Astyanax mexicanus: one gene and its partner. The protein of the gene in region 1 purifies or fractionates together with the protein of each later gene. This does not show direct contact. Links are inferred from orthologs where the notes say so. Each region holds a gene or a part of one and is shown on either strand. Other genes may lie near its edges.

The links. The genes of interacting proteins can lie anywhere in the genome.
Region 2: the proteins of prkcz (region 1) and complement component 1 Q subcomponent-binding protein, mitochondrial purify together in Homo sapiens (affinity purification with mass spectrometry; 5 studies listed by BioGRID and IntAct, with this or other methods). This does not show direct contact. The link is inferred for Astyanax mexicanus from reciprocal best matches to the Homo sapiens genes PRKCZ and C1QBP.

Annotation. Positions count from the first base shown.
Region 1 is NC_064419.1:7,968,940-7,976,813, forward strand, and holds the start of prkcz (protein kinase C zeta type), read left to right. Parts: upstream 1-4,806; 5' UTR 4,807-5,252; coding exon 5,253-5,323; intron 5,324-7,874. Other genes in the region: uncharacterized protein si:ch211-150o23.3, read right to left, coding at 1-170, 404-718, 1,475-1,510, 2,623-2,656. UniProt on the Homo sapiens protein: Calcium- and diacylglycerol-independent serine/threonine-protein kinase that functions in phosphatidylinositol 3-kinase (PI3K) pathway and mitogen-activated protein (MAP) kinase cascade, and is involved in NF-kappa-B activation, mitogenic signaling, cell proliferation, cell polarity, inflammatory response and maintenance of long-term potentiation (LTP).
Region 2 is NC_064408.1:12,096,432-12,103,518, reverse strand, and holds the start of complement component 1 Q subcomponent-binding protein, mitochondrial, read right to left. Parts: upstream 3,026-7,087; 5' UTR 2,956-3,025; coding exon 2,706-2,955; intron 1,524-2,705; coding exon 1,373-1,523; intron 924-1,372; coding exon 830-923; intron 92-829; coding exon 1-91. Other genes in the region: znhit3 (zinc finger HIT domain-containing protein 3), read left to right, coding at 4,222-4,289, 5,940-5,977, 6,118-6,189, 6,298-6,381.

The DNA.
Region 1 (7,874 bases):
TCTGAAATCTGCCCGCTGCGTCACCAGAGGAGTGTCCACACCACTCTTATACAGGTAGAAATCAATAGGGTGCCGCCAGTAGGGGGCAGTGCAGGTGAAGAGGACAGCCTCTCCAGCTGAATACGCAGAGAAGGGGGACTGCATGGTCAGGGTGGGCGCAGGAAGTTTATCTGCAGAATAAAATGTAAGGTCACTGATTAGAGTTCAGTCCTGTTAAGACTGTTAACAAAGTGAGTCTTTCATACTGTATATTATCTTTATATCTTCAGAACTCCAGTGCTAATTGTTGGGATATAAGCTTCCTTTCCTTTCTAGCAACATAAGCCTCATAGCTCCAGTGCTAATTGGATCATAGATTCAGCACTAATTAGTGGGATATAAGCATCTATTGCTTGTCTCTCACCTGTGCACTCCACTCCTGCATCTTCGTTGTGTAAACACACTCCATCGTTGGTGGTGCGCTCGCACAGGTCCAGTGTGAACTCGTCCCCTGAGCACCCGACGTTCCTCCACCACACCTCCCCGATGGATCGGCTGTAGTGTGCCCCCGGCCGTGTGGTGAAGGCGAAGCCACAGTCCAGCTCTCTGCACACCACTGCTGCATCCCGCAGATCCCACCCCTGAGAACACACTGTGCCCCACCGCTCACCTATAAACACCTCCACACGGCCAGAGCAGCGGGACCCCTCCACACTGCCCAGCCTCACCCGCAACTCATCTAGAGACAGAGACAGAGATAGAGAGAGAGAGAGCGCGAGAGAGGGAGAAAGAGACAGAGAGAGGTTACTACACAATCCAGCATTGAAGATCACACTAATAACAGATTACACTAATTCTAGAGTTTGAAGTGGAAAGAACTCTGGTGTAAAATTGACTTTGGGTGTAGTAAAACATGATAAAGAGTACTAACCTCTGTTGAATAGCACACCTCCGCTCTCCTACACCTTTCAGCGATCCAGTAATTTTGTACGGTTTCTCCAAACATGCTTTAGAATGGATGATATGGGGCATATTTTTAGGTTAGGTTATGCTATGGGTTGTGCACAGTGGTTTTAATAAGCTTCTTGCGCACTTTCAAAGTTATTAATGCCTCCTTTAAAATGTCAGAGCTCTCCGGATTCTAACAATAAGGTGTGGAGCTACTTTGAGCCTGAATAACGGTGTAAAAAGTGATTTATCTGCAGGGGCAAAATATGTTTGGAGAAACTGCACAAAATTACTGGATCTCAGAAAGCTGTGGGAGAGTGGAGGTGGACTATTTTCATGTTTTACTACAAAGCACCTGATCTTTTCTGTATAGCTGCAACAGAACTGCTGTAGGAGAGCAGGCAGGTTCTGCATCACATGTTCACTACACAAAGAATCTACTGGAGAACAGTGATGGAAAGGGAAACTGGAACAGCATTTGGTTTCATATCTCTGACCTGTCCTCTATTAGTGCTGTTGTGTTGGTTGTGTACAGTGATCAACTTACCGAACCCCAGAACGTTCCAGACAGAGACTTGTCCGACTGTTCAAAAAGAAAAAAGAAGATACAAACTGTTATGCATCAAAATAAATATTGGACTAGTATATTCTTCAAATTAATAATATACTTATTAATCTCCAAGAATATCATGAACATTACATAGATATTTTTAGCAACACCAGAAATTCATGCATTAGATGACAGTGTACAAAGAACTACCAGAAGGTACGGTGTGTATAAAAACAGTGTTGTATTAATAAACCAACTGTGCACTTTCAAAGATCTCATTGCCTTATTTTATTTTATTTTTACCCCCAAAAAATTAAGAAAAGCAACAAGAGATTAACAATTTAGAACTGACAGTATCTATTTCAAATTGAAAGATCTCTTGCAAGGCTTTGTGTATCCTCTTCCAGTAATTTAATACTGGGGCAGTGCCAAAAAATATATGGTAATGGATAGCATTTAGATTTCCATAGTTTCTCCAGCACACTGGGGGGTTTTTATCATACAATTGGGTATAAAACTTCATTGTTTCATTTTTGTTCCATTTACTTTGGTGAGAAAGATACTGATCTGTTTTTCAGTCTTTAGTTTTTCATTTCTCCCTTTCACTAACAAAATAAAAAAAAGTGATCTAAATTATTTTTAATGATTTTTCAATTTGTGTATCTTGTAACAGTAATCTGATAGTATAAAGGAACTTACTTTTGTTACAAAATGTAAAAATCTAAAAATTAAGAAAGATTTTTTATTTTCCCTGAAATTCTAAAGTTATATATATATATATAAACTTCTTCTATACTACACTATATGGTAAAAATGAAAAAGATAAGTAAATAAGTAAGTTATGTTAGCGAAACGCAGAAATGAAAAACTAAAGATAGGAAAACCAGATCAGTTTCTTCTAAAAAATTAAATAATGAAGTTTTATACCAATTGTTAATGAAAATTTTAGCCTGAAATGGTATGAAAATTAAACTGATAAATTTTACACTGACCAATAACCTGTATTACCACACAAAGTTTTAAAGATATTTAGAGCTGAGAAATCTCCTATAAAACAGAAGATCTCTGAGTCTGAGATAAAAACAGGAGCAGTGTTAAATGATCGAATTTGATGAAGGAGAGCAGGCTGAGTTAACGCTACTGACCCAGCAGAGCTGTGAGCAGCACAATCATCTCCATCTCTGATCCATAAATTAGCGGGTTTAAGGTGTGAAACCCACAGGACCGCAGAACTGACCGGTCCAAACCTCCAGCCCGGACCCGAACCTCGCCCCGATCTTCTCTAATAATACAACATCTCCGACCTTCCCGAGCTGCGGCATATTAGCTAGCTAGGTTAGCTAGCCAGCATGCTAAGCTCTGCTGCTCTGAAGAGATGCAGTGAAAGCTTAAGCTAAGCTAACCTAGCTAGCCTGTGTGCTAACTTTACCTCAGCTCTGAGGTAAAACAAAAACTCAAACAGCGAAAATATCGATTATTATCCCACAACACAAACTATCCGTCCCGCACAGCCTCCAGCAGCTCGGGGATATCAGATATAATCGATATTAAACCTGATTACAGGTGTAGTTAAATATTCTCACAGGCAGGTTTAGCGGCTAGCAAAACTAATCTGAGGGAAAAGCTCTAAAAAAAGCGCCTCAGTCTTAAAGCTGTACTCTCCCTCTAATCCACACCTGTGTGTGTGTGTGTGTGTGTGTGTGTGTGTGTGTGTGTGTGTGGGCATTGTGTTCCTAAAATACTTCCACGATATTTTAGGGTATTTTTGCTATAAAAATATTTTTGGCGATATGATTTTTACTAATTTACTAATTAATACTAATTTTTTACTTACATTATACTAATTAATTTTAAGAATATATTACTGGGAAAAAAATATTAAGAGAATTTTAGAGTTTTATACATTTGAAGCAAAAACATTAATACTAACTTTACCTTAACATTTTATTTTATATTTAAAAAAAAAATACTAAAATAGTGTAACAAAATGAAAAAAAAAAACATAAATAATGTAACAACAAACTAATTCAGTCACAGCTGAATTTTTAGTACTTGCATAAAAAAACGTTTTCATAATGTTAATAATTGTCTAGAAATGTGAGAAACGTTATAATTATGTTGCGATACAATTTTTTTTTGACATTTTAATGTCACATGTTACATAATAACCTTTCCAAAACCTTTTTAAAACGACCAGTAGGGTAAAGTGTGCCATATTGCAATATATCATGATTCAGTTATACTGTGATATCAGCTGTATTTTGTTTTGAAAGCAGTCTACTCTGTATTTGTTTTGCTTTTTAAGCTTTAAAAGTTTTTACTGTAAAATATATTAATCCTAACACACACCTTCTGTTTTGAAAGGGCTGCTGAATCTTACTCAGCCTGCAGGTGGCGCCAAAACACCAGCCTTTCAGCTTTCAGTCAGTAAAGCAGGTAAATGCGTATGAAACAAAAATAATTGGATTACAAATAACTAAAGAAAATGCCACAATAATAATAATAATAATAATAATAATAATAATAATTTTTATCCTCCATATTTATATTGTTATGTCTGTTAGACCCTACACCAAAAAGTTAGGTTTATTAGTGAAGGCTGTGGTTCTACATGGATTAATGACAACTAAAACAACTATTTCAACGTCTGACTGGTTCTTTGCCTTATTATAATTTTTTTTACTAATAAAAAGTAAACAAACAAAATAAATAATTCTAGTATAATGTGGTGGAACTTGGACACATAACATATATTGAACTTTCTCCGACCCAATCCCAGAATGTTCTGACTTAGGCTCAGAAACTTTTACGTAAATACAGAATATACACTCATAAATACTCCACTGTAATTGTAAAGTGCATTTACACTTTTCTTACTTTATGTTTATTTGGATATAGTATTCTAATGTTATCTAGAGGTTATTACAGGTAGACACTCACTGGTCACTGACTTTATGTTTATTTGGGTTTAGTGTTATAATGTTATGTAGAGTTAATTACAAGTAGACACTCTCACTGGTCACTGACTTTATGTTTATTTGGGTTCAGTATTCTAGTGTTATATAAAGTTAATTACAGGAAGACACTCTAACTGACCACTGACTTTATGTTTATTTGCGTTTAGTATCATAATGTTATATAGAGTTAGGTACAGGTAGATACTCTTACTGATCACTTAATTTATTCTTGTTTGGGTTTATTGTTATTGTTTTATTGTTTTATATGTTATATAAAAATAATTACAGGTAGACACTCACTGACCACTGACTTGATGTTTATTTGGGTTTATTATAATGTTATATAGAGTTAATTACAGGTAGACACTCTCACTGACCAGTGACTTTATTTATACATCACTAGCAGGATTTTTAAGTTAATTGAAGGTAAGTGGATTATCACAGTGTTAGCCACTGTGAGACTGGAAGTGTGTGAGGGGTGTGTGTGAGTGTGTAAGTAATCCCGTTGCTCTGTTTAGGGAGGGTGAGTGTCCGTACCCGGAGCGCGCAGGTCGGTCATGGGAAGCGCGTGCACGCGCACTACCAGCACAATAAACCCAACAGGTGTGTGTATGGGTGTGTGTGAGTGTGTGTGTGTATGGGAGTGTGTGTGTTTGTAGGCAGCCCCGGGTCCAGCAGTGGGGTCAGCGGGGCGCTGTGGGAGCTGTAGCCGGACTTGGAGCCTCACAGCCCGGCCAACTGCCCCTAGGAGCCCCGGCAGGTTAGCGCGGATAGTTGGCGGAGACTCCTTTAGCAGCACCGGGAAGAAGACGGCGAACATGCCGGTCAGAAACGGCTCCATGATGGAAATACATGAGGAATATGTGAAGATAAAGGCTCATTACGGAGGGTATGTTTACTTTTAACTTGTTTAAAAAGCTTAAGTTTGCTTTTTATTTCTAACTCTCCAGTCCACCTTAAATGGTGCAGCATAACACTATAACCCCCGAAGCGTCTGAACGTAAACTGATGCACTATTTAAGGTGGAACGGGGAGTTCCAAAAAAAAAAAGTTTTCAACTTTTTTTTTTTAGCTAAATTTAATATAACGTAATAGTGTTAATTACTGACTGTAGATTAAAATAGACAGGTTGTAATATTTATTTGAACCAGTTAAATAAGCTCATCTGTAGTTTACTGGATAAACTGAACACTTCTTTTCTGAACTCTACAGCTAGCCTGCTAACTCTGTTATCTTTTCTTCCTCCCTTCCCTTTTAAAAGCTGAACTTATCTCCTCTTATCTTCTTGAGAAACACTTCATTTAAGCTCCAGCTCTCTCTGCTTGCTTTACTCAGCCTTAGGCCCAGTGCCTGCCTAATGAAACAGAACCGGTTGCCAGGTCTGTCTCCTTCCAGTTCAGAGGCTTAACTGTTAATTTATTTATTTACACCTTCAGAGCTCTCCTGTAATGATCTGAGCAACTTTTCCTGAAGTTAGTCATTAAGACAGATTGTTACCTAACTCCATCACTGGTCATGTGGGGGAGCCTGTCATGGAGAAATTTCACAGGGGTGTGTTATTTAATAGGGCAATGCCATACATATCTAATCACTATAATTTTTTACTTTTTATTTCCTGTCATGGAGGCGTCCACCCTGTTATGACAAACTGCGGGATAGACGATTTTAGTTAAAATTGCTAGAGCTGAAACCGAGCTGTTAAACTGTTCATAGTGACCTTGTTTTGTTTTAAAGATAATTTTGATCTCAAAAATAGTTTATAAAAATTACCATGATATGTAGGGAGACAATATGAGAGTTATTAAGTGAAATAAATCTTATTAATTGCTGAACATGCAGCAGCAAGTGATTTCAGTACCTTGAAAATAAACAGTGTGAATGTTGTGATGCCACTGAGGTCAAATGCCTAAATAATTAAGAACATGTTTAAATAAAATAAGAAATACGTTATTTAACGACCTAAAAGAATTACTGTTTCAGCTCCACCCATTTTAAGTTAAAGAAGTGTTGCAGCATAGACTTCTTCATGGATGTAGTAGAGAGGTGAGTTAATTAGTGTATCTGCTTGTTTTGTTTGTAAAGTGGAGAGACATCACTGAAATATGGCGTTGGAAGAGGAACTGGGTTTGGGAGCTGAGGGCTAAAAGAGAAGTGCAGAGATAAGGGTTGAGTAGGAGTTCAGGGTTGAGGAGCAGTTCAAGAATGAGGAGATAATGGTTGAGGAACTCATGTTTGAAAAACTCAGTGGTGTGGAGGAGCAAAGGGGTTAGGAGCTCATTAAGGAGCTTATAGTTTAGGAGCCCAGGCCTCAGTTGGAGCTCAGGATTTGGAACTCAATATTAAAGGGGAGATCAGGATTGAATAAGAGCTCAGTGTTGAAGTGAACCTCAGGGTTGAGAAGCTCAGGGATGAGGAGGAGATCAGGGTAAAGGAGCTCAGGAGGGAAGAGCTCAGGGTTGAAAACTGAAAAATGAAGTGCTTAGCGTTAAAGAGGAGATCAGGGATGAGAAAGAAGGAGCTTAGGAGTGAGGAGCTTGGAAATGAGAAACTCAGGGTTGAGGAGTTGCTGAGGTTTGAGGAGATGCTCATGGCAGAGTAAGAGCTCAGGGTTAAGGAGATGCTCAGGGTTGAGGAGATGCTCAGGGTTAAGGAGGTGCTCAGGGTTGAGGAGATGCTCAGGGTTGAGGAGGTGCTCAGGGTTAACCAGGGTCTCAGCATTGAGGAGGAGCTCAGTGTTCAGGAACAGCTTAGGATTGAAGAAATCATGGGTGTGGAGGAGCTCAGGCTTCAGGAGGAGCTCAGGAGATAAAAACTGCGTGTGTGTGTGTGCCTGTGTGTTGCTGCCTCGTCTCACACACACTATAAGTCTGTCAGTTGCCTAGCAACCAGAACTGAACCCAGAAGATCCCAGAGAGTTCTCTCGCCTGTATATTTTGTCTAGTTGTGTGTGTTTAGTCTGTTTCACACTGTTAGACCGAGTTAAACCTATTTATTTAAACCAAGTTGATCAGAATTCAACTTTCAGAAGAGTGAAGTGAATCTAAATTAAAATGAGTTAAACCAAGCTAAACAGAGTTACGCTGAGTAAGAATTGAGTCACACTGAGTTAAAAGTTAAACTGAAATATTTATATTACCTTCTTCTTATATTTATCTTCACCTTCTTTACTTTTACTTTCTATACCTTGCTGAAACCACTGGCCAGTGATTGGAATCAAAGATGTTTGTAATAATAAAATAAAGTGCTCAGAGAGAGAAAGCACAAGGTGGGGTGTTTCTGATAAAGTGGCCAGGTGTGTGTAAAAGACTGTGTTGTTTGTCATATTCCAGTCTGATGTAAATTCCTGTGGAGCTGTAAAGTGTGTAATGATTAATCTAGGTGGGGGGGGGGAGGGGGAGGGCTGGTTTATGATATGATAGTAAAGTTATAAATACTCAGGA
Region 2 (7,087 bases), on another chromosome or scaffold:
CTTCTGGGAAATGGCAGTCGAACACCAGGGCATTTTTTGCCCCCTGTTTCAGGACTTCAACAACAAAGTTAGGTGTCGAGACGATTTCAGGCTAAAAGACAAGCAAGAAACAACAAAAGAAGCAAAACATCAAATTAAAGATTTGTTAGAACCGTGTTTAATATAAAAGCTGCTGGGAGAAATTCTCGACATTCAGTAGCAGCACGTATACACAGTACACAGACGTTCCAAAAAAAAGAATGAATAAGATAAGACACAAATAAAAAATACAATCAAAATAATAAAATAATGCTCTTATAGTGTCTTTTTTAGTGTGCATGTATGTGTGTGTGTGTATATATATATATATATATATATCCACTATTTTGGTTCGCATCTGTGTGCTGTTACTGTTTTCTCATCTACCCTTAAAGATACTTTAAGGTGGTAGAATGTGACTATTCTTTCATTTAAGGTGGAATGGAAAATCTAATTATTAAGCAAATTTCTTCCAGAAACAAGCTGCAATAATTTCATGCTTCTGTTTGTGGCTTCTAGTTTTAACTGCATTAAAAATCATAGGGGTTTATTTTAGTGCACAAGTCAGAAATGATGGTGCTGTAATCTGTGCATGTATACTGGGGAAAGACCTAAAACACCATGCAAGAATGTGGTGTAAATGGCAGAAAAACAACATACATTCATGCATTACCAATACATATATATATATATATATATATATATATATATATATATATATATATATATATATATATATATATATATATATTGGAATTTGGTAACCATTTGTAAATAAGTTTAGAGTGTGAAAAATGGAAGGATGCTTTACCTCCTTTTCCTCTGCCTTCTGTCCATGCCCTGGCTCCTCCTCTTCCTCCAGGGTTGGGGGGATACTGTTGTTAATGTTGAATGTGATGGTCACCCTAAGGGAAAAATAAATCTGTAAGTCTAAGATCCCAATTTGGCTAGTCCAAATATCCAATCCATTCAGCTGCTACTCAGCTGTATATCCCCTATCATTAGTGATGCCACAGCACAAGAAAGGTGAAGACTAGCACACGCCTCCTCCGACACATGTGAATTCAGACTCCGCCTCTTTTCTAACTGATGCAGCATTACTGAGTAGCATCACAGCGCACTAGGAGGTTCTGATACATCAGCTCACATACAGACACCTTGTGCTGATCAACATCACCCTTTGGAGTGATGAGGGGAAAGAGCGCCATCTATCCACCCAGAGAGAGCAAGACAAACTCTCTCAGGGCTCCTGCAGCTGATGGCAAGATGCATGACCTGGATTCAAACCACATGATCTCCTGAATGACATTTTATATGCAATCATGATTTTAATAATTGTTCATAAAAATCGTACCTCTCTCCAGAAAGGGAGCGAATGAGTTTCGCCTCTGTGCCGTTGAGTTTGAGCTCCCATCCTCCAGACATTTTGGGAAGAGTTGCACTTTTCTGGATCTTCTTCTCCTCTTTAATTTCATCTGAGAGGAATTCTGCAAACGCTTTATCGCCTGGAAGAGAAGAGAGGGATGATCACCACCACACATAAAAAAATGCTTATCTATTAAAAATGACAAGAAGCATTGACATTAGCTCCTTTTTATTTTAATAATTTTATATTATATTATTATTATATTATATAATATTTTGATGTAACAAATCATGTACATGAATGTACATGTGTAAATAATTGGAAAAGAATAGTTAATATGCAATAATTATTGCATGGTTGTTTCATTTTAGAAATCAGCAAAATGTTGTACAGCTTGTGGCTTTTAAAATGTCTTTAATGCAGGTAATTAGGAGTTCATTAGAAGCGTCTAACTAGTCTGTAGGAGCCAAAACTCTTAATGGTTTTTAGGGGATAACATACGCAATATTTTTCCCTACGAAATACAATAAAAAATTATACAATTTATATTTATAATTCTGGATTTTATTTTTGATATTCTTTCTTTCTCTGTTAAAAATAACTTACCCTTAAATTTTTTGTTCTGACTAAAATAAATAATGGCCGTTCATGTCTTTTTCAGTGGGAAAACTTATAAAATCAGCAAGGGATCAAATAATTATTTACCTTACTGTACTTTTTACAGTTACTAATTTTATAAAGCACCTTAAACTGGATCCTTAAATATGCCCTCCACTCAAAAGTTCTTGATCTGGATGGAGATGGTCATCCAAGTTAACCTACAGTACTCAACCTCAACCCTGCTCTGACTTTCATCAAGGTCACATTCCTTGTAGAAATGAACGGAAGTAGAATCACACATTCAGTACCATTCATTTACATTTAGTTTTTTTATAGAATTAACCCAAATAACCAGATATAATATCCTTTTAACTTGGGTAGCTGTCAAACTCATACACCAACATTTACAGTCACGCTCTGTCTCTGTATACTACAAGTATATTACATTAGTTAGATCTAATTAAAGTATAAAAAATAAGAAGTATAGTCCAATTTATGAGAGGCAAACCAAAATTAAGACTATATAATAGCTACTATATTTATATATCTCATAGTATTACAGTAAATCTTAGTTATAGAAAGATAAACTAGATAATAAGTCAGCTCCCTCTCCAGCCTTGGCCCCAGGCTCCTCTGTGTCTCTCTTTAACCGGCTGATGAAACCAGACACACGGCGTTATATAAGCGGATAATCCCCCTTCAGATAAATTAGACAGGTTACCTTCAGTGTGGAGACCCCCGCAGCCGCAGGGCACCGCCGGCAGCCCCCGCTCCGTGCTCAGAAGCTTCGGCCTGCTGCCCGAGGTCGCGCCGTTACTGCTGCACAGCATCCAGATGGAGCGGGTAAAAGGCCGAGTGGAGGCCGAGCTGGGAGCGCACAGGGCCGGGCTCGCCAGCGCGGCCCTGGCGGCCGGGGCTTTGGTAGAAAGCCGAGCGGCGACGCTCACAGCACGGCTCAGGGACTTCAGCATGGCGGCCTGATCTCCAGCAGAGTGAAGGACTGAATAGCCTGGAAACACGTGGGGAAGGACAGGGGACGGAGCCGAGTGCGAAGCCGGAGCTGATCACAGGGCTCTTTTCAAAATAAAAGTCTCTGAGTTTCAAAGTCACTGCTCACATATACACTGTTTTATTGTATAATTGAATTATATGTGTCTCACTTTTAACTTTAAATATTTAACAGCGTAATTCATTAAAAATATCATATTCATAAAATACATAATTTAATGTTTAGGCATCACATTATTAAATATTTCAAGTTTGGCAAAAAGTGAAATTCATTTTGAACAAGCAAAAAAATCTATAACAATACAAAAAATATAATATAAATAAATTAAAGTAAAAAAAACTAATTTCATAATATGTGTTGCTACAGAGTTTTGATGTCTTAACTAGTAATCTACAAGGTAGAAAATAACTTATAGAAAAATAAATAAAAACATAAAATGAGAAACGTTTGACTAGTACTGTGTACATTGCATATACAGATATAATAAAAGAAACGAAATCAGTACTTAATTTTCAGCTGGGGCAACAGAAGCTTAGGCCAGTCCCTAATGTAATAAATAAATTGCTAAATTAAATTAAAACATATGTAAAATTTGTTAAATAATTCGATAACATGTTGTAAGAAATAAATATAATTGATTAATATAAAAGAATAAAGGATTAAATCATCCTTTCATCCTAAGCAAGAAAAATGATAAAACATCAAAAATCTGAAAAATGTTTATATATATATATATATATATATATATATATATATATATATATATATATATATATATATATATATATATATATATATATATATATAAACGCTATTCACTATTTGTTCTTAGTTTTTAGGGTTTTTTTTAGATGTCTTTACTAGTAATACATTTAATTTAAATTAAATAATTATGATAGGACTTTAGGGGCATATCAAAATAGTTTCCTTTTATGTCAGGTCTTGCTGAAATATTTTTTTTCTGTAAACTTTTATTTTGAAATGCTGTGCCTCCTCCCCTTTTCAGTGGTGTTTCCACATTGCTAGTGAGAGAAGAGGTGTTTTAAGAGGCTGAAGTTACTTCAAGTCATTTAACCTCCTTTTTTTAAGTTATTTGAGAAGTGGGTGAGTATATGGCTGTATTAACAGTGTAATATTTAATGTACAGTGTTATATTATATGATAATGGCGCTGTTCCGGTGTAAACTGTGTGTGTGTGTGTGTATGTTGAGCAGCGTGTTGTGGAGTGATGCAGCTGTGCGGAATCTGCAGTGAAAATCTCCCTAAATACAGATGCCCAGCCTGCAGGATCAGATAGTGAGTATACCACAGTTATACACTCCCATACTGTACCAGCCCAACAGTTAGGACACACCTCTTTTTCTCATTCAGTGTGTTTTGTTTTCTTTCTTCTTATTAATCTTTTACATTGTAAATTTAATATTGAAGTATATTTTAAAGCTATACAGGAACACATGCTGAATTATTCTGTAAACAAAGTGTTTAATAAACCAGAAAATGTTTTATACTTTAGATTATTCTTAGTAGCTCATTCATCTTAGAGGACAGATCTGCACACTCTTGGTATTTTAATCTCAGTGTCTTCATGAGGGAGAGTCACCTGAAAAAGTTTTCTCAGTATCTTAAAGGAAGGAGTTCCTGGAGGTGCTGAACAATAGTTGCTGCTTTTCCTTAACGCTGTGAAGCTCCAGCTCATCCCAATTAAATCACCTCAAATCACCATCTCAGTTCATCAGGTTTAGATCAGGGGATTGGTCAGGTGGAGGACAATTTTTTTTTTTTTTTACTGTTTACTACATAATTCCATATGTGCCCATTAGGGGTGCGCGATATGGCTCTAAAATAATATCACGATATTTCAGGGTATTTTTGCGATAACGATATACTTGGCGATATAGGAAAACTAAAATAATTCATTCATTTCAGGAATATAGTATAATAGTATAACAGAATAATCATAATGTGGCAAAATAAATAATATAGCATAAAGTAATATAATGCAGCAAAAAATATTGCAGAATATTTAGTGCATGCATATTGTCGCTGTCCAATGAAAAACTCTGATCTCCAAAACAGAAAAAACCTTGTAAACTTTCAGTGGAAGTCAATGTAAAAAGAGTTTATTTAAGGTCATTTTGAAGAGTTTCTATTGGTCTATGCATTAAGAAATTTTGGCACAGTGTAAGGGACAGTTTGTCTGTTCAAATTATGTAGTAAACTAAAAATGAACAAAAATGGAGATAAGTGTTTTTCATAGGACAGTGATGATAAACTGCTAACTAAAACAATTATACAATAAATATACTTAAAGCTTCACAGTAAATAATAGACTACTTTTAAGACAGAACAGCCCTATTATCACAATATGGATTTTTAATATCATGATATTTCTGTGTCACGATATATTGTATACGATATAATATTGCCCACCCCTAGTGCCCATTAATTGTTTTCCTGTCTTTAATATTAAGCTACAATGTAGGAAATAAATTAAATAAAGAAATAAATAAAGAAAACATTGAATAAGAAGGTGTGTCCAAACTTTTGGCTGATATATGTATGTGACTCAATACATATCTATAATAACAACTATTAATACAGACAATAAATAATAGCAGGTATAAGAGAAAATTAAAGGTGCTAAGGACTTGTCCCAAACTGTGCCCCATAAGTCCTTTTGTCTACTTTTGACTTAAACAGACAGGACATAAATATAGGAACTGTGTACACATGTATGCCTACTATATCTGTGGTTATGTGGGAATCCATATGTGAGAATCCAATGTTGGTGGATGCAGTGTAAATGAAAAGTAACTAAAGTGAAGTGCAAGGTGGATGGTGGACTAAGCGCTGTTTAGATGCCTGATGACGTGAGGGAAGAAGCTGTTTCTGCATTGGCTGCTCTGAAACCAAATAATAACGTTTGTGTTCTTTTTTTGATCGTAGCTGTTCACTGGGTTGCTTTAAGAAACACAAAACTGATGGTAAGTAATTTTCTGGTTTAATGTTTATTTTTGCTGTAAATGATCTGTTCAGCTTTACTAGAGTTGGTCATATAACATGTAACATGTGTTCCCCTAAACCTAACTCTGATGAATAATACTTTTCTGTATGTTTTATATAGATTCCTGTCAGCAAGTGAAAGATACAACACCTCCTGTCACCACACCACTTCCAGAAGTCTGTGCGAGCACTGGTGAGTGTGTGAAGAGCTCCAGAAACCACAAATAAGCATTATAAACAGGTTTCACACTCTGAACTGGTTGTTTAAAAAATTAATTAATTAATTAAAATGTGATTTCAGCTGAGGAGCCCTGGACTGCTGATGATCTCCTGGATGAGGACAGCCAGTCAGACAGAGTTCCTCTTGAAAGACTTCAACAATTAGGTATGTTTTTGGTTAATTAGTTGGCAGTTTGTCATGGTTGTATATTTGGTACAGTAAAGTGTTTCCTACATTATAAATGAATACTAAAGTAATCCAGACTATGAAGGAACACACAAGGAACCATGTAATAATTGAAAAGTGTTAAACAAACCAAAATGCTCGTTTCTGAAGCTGGTAACTCTGATAAACTTATCCTGTACAAAAGAGGTGACTCTTGCTCTCATTTTCCTGGGGCAGTCCTGATGAGAGCCAGTTCCATCATAATGTTTTTGATGGTCTTTGTGACTGCACTTGAGGATTGACTGACCTTCATTTTTCTTAAAGTATTTTTTTCGCGGGCACCTAGTGGTCCAGCGGTTTAAAGCGCTGCCACTATAAGCAGGAGGTCGCAGGTTCAAACCACCTTTATGCAGCTTTACCATCAATTAGAGGGAGCACAATTGGCCCTGCTCCCTCCGGGTGGGTAGATGGCGCTCTCTCCCCACATCACTCCTAGGGTGATGTCCACAACACAGGGCTCTTTGAGCTGATGTATCAGAACCGAGTCGCTGTGCTTTCCTCCGAGTGCGCTCTGATGCTGCTCGGCAATGCTGCATCAGCAGCAGCTTGAAAAGAAGCGGTGGCTGACTTCACGTGTATCGGAGGAAGCTTGTGTTAGTCTTCACCCTCCTGTTGTGTTGGGGCATCACTAGTGATATAGGGGGAG